2 linked regions of the Sus scrofa genome follow. The protein of the gene in region 2 interacts with the protein of the main gene of each other region in a pairwise test. Links are inferred from orthologs where the notes say so. Each region holds a gene or a part of one and is shown on either strand. Other genes may lie near its edges.

Region 1 (3,750 bases), on a different chromosome or scaffold from region 2:
ACAGACCTGGGGGAATGTTGAGGAGAGTGGTCTGTCAATACGAGATGCCTAGGAGCTCAGTAGACTTTATAGGCTGATACGGCAGAGCGCTCAGAAAACTGGGACCTACCTGAATGCCCACATCCGTCTCTAAGAGACCCAAGTCCATGGGTCTGTTCCTGCATCCAGATCTCTACTATGTGAACAAAACCCAAACCAGGCTGGTTTTCTGTGTAAATGGGAGGGGAACAAAGCAGTTTCTTTAGTGTTTGCTGGGGCCACTGTGCTCTTGGCAGTTTCATTCTGGCATTGCTATATTAAATATCGTGTCCTGAGAGTAGAGATTACAGTTTGCTCTAACAGTGCTTCTTTTTTTTTTTAATTAAAAAATTTTTTTTAGCACTGTACCGCGGCATGTGGAAGTTCCCAGACTAGGGGTCAAATTGGAGATACAGATGCCACAGCCACAGTAACACCAGATCCGAGCTGTGTCTGTAACATACACCACAGCTCATGGAACACTGGATCCTTAACCCACTGAGCAAGGCCAGGGATCGAACCCCCATCCTCATGGATACTAGTCAGGTTTGCTACTCCCGAGCCACGACAGGAACTCCACCAGTGCTTCTTGACACTGGACAGTTAATAGAATCAGCTAAAGAAGTTTTATAAAATTCCAAGACATGGATACCAGACCAGTTAAATCACATGCTCCAAAGGTAAATTCAAGGCCCAGATGGTATCTTTTAAAAACTCCTTGCCTTGGTGATTTTTAATGTACAAGCATTGATCTAAGGCATCCAGTAGCACGGAATGCCAAATAGTCAATGAACCATGAGAAAATGTAAGGAAGACTGGCGACTGAAAGGTCAATTTGGGCTTCAAGGTTTTCTAGCCTTTGGAAAACCAGGCAATACCAAATTCACAACTACCTTCAGATGGTAGTAAGGTGAGAAAAAATTCCATGTACCAAACAAATATCTAGTGGTTACACTGTGGAGGGCTATCTTCTTTAGAAAGCATTTTGACAGCTTTTCTTATGAAAAAACAGAAACTTTCTTTAGTGAGTAAAATACGAAAGTGGAACATCTCCCGAAGCGTAACCAGATTAGGCATCAGGTGAAATTCTACGGGATACTCCAGGGTCTTGCCCTGATCAGCAAAGCACCAGGACAGCCCCGAGGTCATGAGGGAGGAGGCAGTTTCTATTTCTGGGCTGCAGACGTACACACACGACTGATGAAGAACTGAAGGGGTCCTGCATCTTTTTAAAAAATCTGCTTCTGTTTAAAAAGCTAACATTTCTCTGCTTCATGTGTTCTGCATTTGAGGTGTAGTAAAATCTTTGCTCTTCACCAGATGTAATGTTTTAGTAAACACACACACACACACACACACACAGAATTCTGCTCAGCTATATGCCCTTCAGCAAATCACATACCCCATGGGCTTCTCTGTTTTAAACCTGTGAGTCTATACAGGGTTCCCAGACTATCTGAGGAGCAGCACTGAGGGTGAAAAGTGGAATTGTCCTGGCCACTTTCCAGGTTTCCAGGTTCTTTATTCCTAGTGTATCTGAGCTTTGTTCAAAGTGAGCCATAGCCTACTTAGTTTCCTTTTATGCCCAGATGTTGCAGAAGTGAGCTAGGTCAGAGCCTGAATCTGGGTTAGCTATAAATGTGACACAGAATTGTCAGCTGCTATGAAATGGTGCTGCAGCTCAAGCCACCCCTTACAGTAGCACAAGAAGTGCAAGCTGAAGTGTGCAAACACTCTCAGCAGAGAGGCTCAGGACACTGAGAAAGGCCACTATGGGCCTTTGGAAATTAGTTTTGGGAGACCAACTTGGAGGGATTTTGGATATCTCTGCAGGGTCTATGTCATAGTTTGAAAAGATCTTGGACAGGTAACCCTCCATCTGCAATGTAGGATGTAAACTACGTGTACCACGACCTGATTTCTGATGGGCGCTGAGCTAATATGAAAAGCTTCTTTATTTATGGTTTTCAAGTCAAGCACCACAGAGTCACCAAAGACCTCTATTTCCTCACTTGTAATGCTTTTTGTACAGATTAGCTGCCTAGGGCAGTTTAAGATGAATGAAAAGATGTTCGGAGAAGCTCTGGGGAAAAGAGGACCAAGTGCCATCTATCCATCACGTCTGTGACTCTAGTGGCAGCCAAAGGCTAGAGTAGGCAGTATCAGAATCACTTGGGAAGTTTTTGTTTGTTTGTTTTTTTAGGGCCGTACCCGTGACATATGGAATTCCCAGGCTAGGGGTTGTATCGGAGCTGTAGCTGCCAGCCTACACCACAGCCACACCAGGTCAGAGCCGCACTGGCTACCGACACCACAGCTCAAGGCAATGCCAGATCCTTAATCCAGTGAGTGAGGCCAGGGATCAAACCTGCATCCTCATGGACTCTAGTTGCGTTCGTTACCTCTGAGCCACAACAGAAACTCCCTCACCTGCAAAGTTTTTAAAACAGATTCCTGGGCCCCATCTAGGGGGTGAAAGTTTCAGTAAGGAGGTCTGGAGAGGGCCATGGACAGCTGTGCTTTGTTTTAGTTTTTCTAGGTAATGTGGATGGATAGCTGGTTGAGAACCGCAATTTAGGCCACCCCCCGCTCCCCCAAGGGATGCAGGTCTCTATTTTCTCACCGAGGTCTGGCTTGCCGGTGTAGAGCTTTTCATAGAGAAAGGTGTGGTCTCGGAAGCTCTGCAGCGTGTTCCCCATGGCTATGATGGATACCATGACCAGCCAGCTTCGTAACACGTTCAGGAACCGGCTCATGGCTCTCTTCAACCCTAGAGGGCTTTGTGCCTTGGAAACAAAGGCAAAAGGCAGGATAGAATACTGATAACCACAAGCTCGCTCGCTTCTGATGTTAACCTGTCTCCTCCTCATGAGGAGCTTATGTTGTCAATCACTTCTTCAACTCCTCTCTAATACCCTAGGTTAATCCATTCCCAGTCACCCTTCACAGAGTTGGCATAGTGGCTTTTAACATCTACCTTATTAGGAGTTCCGTCCGGTGGAAATGAATCTGACTAGGAACCATGAGGTTGCAGGTTTGATCTCTGGCCTCACTCAGTGGGTTAAGGATCCAGCGTTGCCGTGTGCTGTGGTGTAGGTCACAGACGGGCTTGGATCTGGCATTGCTGTGGCTCTGGCGTAGGCTGGCAGCAACAGCTCTGATTAGACCCCTAGCCTGGGAACCTCCATATGCCACGGGTGCGGCCCTAAAAAGCAAAAAAAAAAAAAAAAAAAAAAAAAAAAAAATCTACCTTATTAAATTCAAAGTGGGCTGACCTTTACCCAGAGTGAAAAAGGCTAAATAATGCAGTGGGTGGAAATGACAAACCATTGGAAAGAGTGGAGAGAAGAAAGGGAACAGGAGAAAGGGAAGTGTACAGATATTACGATAATAAAATGGACTTCCGTGTACGACTTACAGAAATTGGTCTCAGTATTTACTTGTACTAATAGTGATGGATCAATAGTGTACTTTGCAATTAGTGGCATAGTGCTTATTTTTGTCCCAGCAACTTCTCCAAAATATTAGCCTAAATCAAAACTCTCTTCTATTGGCTGGAACCAGTGCCCCGGGATCTTTACTTCCAGCCTGATGTTTCATGTCATTCCTTTGCAATGTAAGTGGCTCAAACACAGGTGACTTGATGAGGTTACATAACTAAGAGATGGGGGAGCTGAGATATGAAGCACAGTCTGTTGGTCTCTATGTCACAAGACTGCCTCACCAAGAATA
Region 2 (3,314 bases):
GTTTGAAGGTCCTGAGTGAAAACCAACAGGGTTTGGGAATCAGTCTGACCCTTGCACTGCACCTCTGGAACCTGGGACCAAGCAGAGCCAAGGGGGAGGGAGCAGCCGGGAGGATGGGGAGCCTGGCACCCCCTGCGGTGCAGCCTCGCCTCCACACAAGCCGCCCACAGCCCGGTTTTCCGAGGCACAGCAGAGCTGGGCTTCTTGGCTCCTGGACTGTCAAGTGTCTGTTCACAAACTCTGGCCTCGCAGCACGAGCTGGCAGCACGGACCAAAGCCTCATCTTTCCAGCCTGGGCCCCGGGCTCCATCTACCCTTCTTGTCTGGATGCCCAACCAGACAGAAGAGCCAGGAAAGCTTCTCTGGACACGCCTCATGGCCGTCTCTCAGCCAAAACCGGTTGCGGCGAAGAGACAGCGGAACTAGAAAAAGAACTGGAGAGAAATCCCCGCACCCGAATCACGTCAGCGCTCTCCGCGGCGAGGCCCGGGAAGCCCCAGGCGGTTTGAGAATGTGCTCTCACCACACAGTAACTTTTCCAGGTGGTTATTCATGGCAGAGAACTTGACAGAAGGCCACAGCCCTTCCCTAAAAGAGGAGCCCTGGGAGCTGAGCCCCGGAAGGGCTTGCAGGCCACAGGGAAGTGAGAGTGCCCCAGTCTGGCTGTCCTCAGAGGGGCTCAGTCTGTGTGCGCGAGAGGCTCGGTGCCAGCCAGAGGTGGGGGCTCGGGCTTCCCAGCAAGAACAGAAACTCGGCAGCCAAAGCCACAAAGGGGGAAGAGGCCAGCAGCACCCCTGTCAGCGGCTGTGGCTCCAGCCTCACCCCGGGGGAGCGGAGGGGACGTCTGCCGGGGCCAGACCCCTCGCCACGGAGCTGCCAGCTCCGGCCTGGGGCGGCCTGTGAGCAGCGGCCCAGCAGCGGGGACGGGAACTGAGAGAGGCCAGCGGGCGGCCCAGGAGGGAAGTGTGCCGAGCAGACCGCCGGCCTCGGCCGGAAGGGCGGGCAGCTCCTGGTGCTGGACAACCGCCCCCGCTTCCTCCTGGGGCGCAGGCGGCCTCCGGGGCTCAGCGGCGGGCCGGCGCCTCAGTTGGCCTGGCTGCACTGCAGGAGCTGATGGGGGCCGAACAGCCTCCTGACGCCCAGCGCCAGGCCGTTCTCTCTGTTCTCCTTGCTGTCCAGCCCGATGGGCAGCCCTGTCTTCTTGAAGTAGCAGAGGCGGCACACGGAGTGGTACTTGTCCGCTCCTCCGATCACCTCGACCTGGACACGGGACACCAGGTGCCTGGACTGAGGGGGGCGCGGCGGCCCCCGCCCCGCCCGCCCGCGCCCCCGGGAGAAGGCAGGGCAGCTACCTCTTTCTCCACGCCCAGCCTCTTGGTGTAGGCGGCCTCCCGGAAGCACTCCATGCACACGGCCGTCAGCTTCACCACGCTCTCGGCCAGGGGCACCAGGTTCAAGATGCTCCCGAAAGCCTGCGGTCCCACCAGAGACGGGCGCTCTCAGCTCGCCCTTTCCCGGAAAGGCTGCCTCCCAGCACGGAAGCCAGGGACCGAGGCCCTGCCCTGGCCTTCCCCAGAGCCCGGCGCCTGCAGCCGGCGGACCCGGTCCGCGGCCCCAGGAGCCCGTCTCTGCACGGCCCCGGCCCCCCGCCTCCCGGGTCCCAGGCCCGGACGCCTTACCTTCCTCTGGAAGGTCCCGTCCAAGGCGGCCACAATCACGGTCTTGCCTTCGTTGGCCATGGTCTCGCTGAACTCCACGATGTCAGGGAACTGGGGGCGGGAGAGGGGGTGAGGACAGCTCCCGCCTGGGCAGCAGCTTCCGGGAGCCACAGAGAAGGTGCTGCCGGACCCGACAGCTCCGGGCACCCAGTCGGCGGGGAGCGCGAGACCTGGGCAGCCCCAGCCCCTTGCCCGGCGCACAGCTGCATGTCCCCAGCAGACCCAGGCCCCCCTCCAGGTCAAGAACCCGGACCTGTCACCAGGGTGACGCAGCCCGGCTAGAAAGGCGGTCTGCCACTGCAGTGTCAACAGCTTGGACCAGAGGCTGCCTTGGGCTTGAACCATGGTCACCCGTTAGCTGTGACCTGGGCAATGACTTCAGATTCCCGAGCCTGGAAAAGACAGGGAGGGCTTTGGGGGGGGTTAAGGATTAAAGACCCTCAAATAATTTATTCTCTTTGGCTGAGAGGTAGGCTGTGTGCCTGCCACTTAAAACCCAACAAAAAACAATGTGCCATGCGATGCCTTGAGAAGGGGTGGCAGTTCCACGGTCCCGGCACACCCTTCTAAATGCAGGGTCTGCAGCAGGCCGCTTAGTTGGTGACTCAAATTTCATTTCAAGTGGCCCAGGGTGAGGCTGCTTAAAACCCTTTGGTGGATTTTCACTGGTCATCATCTGTCGAGACGGACCTGTGGGTTGGGTGAAGTGGGGATTATTCTTGCCTAGAGGGTCTTTCTCCAAGCCACCCAGGCCTCACTCAGCCGGATGTTCGAGAAGTTACCAAGACAGGACCAGGAGAGGCGTTAGAAACCCCTCTATGCAGCGGGATCCACTGAAGCCAGAGCTGACCGCCCCCTGGCAGGGCTGGAGGGGCCTGAGCTCTGGAACGGCCGCCCCCACCCAGAGGCTCCAGCTGACCCTGCCCCAGGCGGTTCTTTTTCTCTGAAGGACTCGGGTCACAGAAATGCAGCCCCCACCTACAAGGAGCTGTCAGTAAGTGCCCCCCGACCAGCTGTCACAAAACTGTTTCCAGACATTGCCAGATACCCACTGCGGCGGGGGTGGGAGAGGAACGAATCCCCTGCACTCCCCCTCCCTGCTGAGGCCTCGTCAAGAGGCAGGTCCTTCCACACCAGGGTCTGGGGACCTCGGAGGGTCCTTGGCTTCACCTGTGGTCAGAGCACTCAGCTCTTCCACCCGGACTTTGTCCCCTGTTCACACGCCCCCCTCCCCAACACCGACCCTGGGCCCCCAGCAGGGGTTCCTGGGTGATCGAAGGTAAGGACAGAGCTGCCTGGGTTTTCTGCAAAATCTCAAGATGCCCACGGGTAACCATGTTGCTGGCGTTGGATTTTATTGCCATTCATTTTTAGGTTACATTTTGGGTTGAGTTGTGTCCCTCTCACACCTCAAATCCATGTTGAAACCCTAATCCCCAGCACCCGAGTGCGACCTTATTTGGAGAGGGTCTTTGCAGAGGCCATCCAGTTAAAGCAGGTCAGGAAAGTGGGCCCTAATCCAGGAGTTCCCGCTGTGGCTCAGTGGAAATGAATCTGACTAGTATCCATGAGGATGCAGGTTCGATCCCCGGCCTC

The links.
Region 1: the proteins of TK1 (region 2) and C7H14orf1 interact in a two-hybrid assay, tested with the Homo sapiens proteins (2 studies listed by BioGRID and IntAct). The link is inferred for Sus scrofa from reciprocal best matches to the Homo sapiens genes TK1 and ERG28.

Annotation. Positions count from the first base shown.
Region 1 is NC_010449.5:98,816,869-98,820,618, forward strand, and holds the start of C7H14orf1 (probable ergosterol biosynthetic protein 28 precursor), read right to left. Parts: upstream 2,775-3,750; coding exon 2,642-2,774; intron 1-2,641.
Region 2 is NC_010454.4:3,792,041-3,795,354, reverse strand, and holds the end of TK1 (thymidine kinase, cytosolic), read right to left. Parts: intron 1,770-3,314; coding exon 1,680-1,769; intron 1,473-1,679; coding exon 1,353-1,472; intron 1,261-1,352; coding exon 1,084-1,260; 3' UTR 531-1,083; downstream 1-530. UniProt on the Homo sapiens protein: Cell-cycle-regulated enzyme of importance in nucleotide metabolism. Catalyzes the first enzymatic step in the salvage pathway converting thymidine into thymidine monophosphate.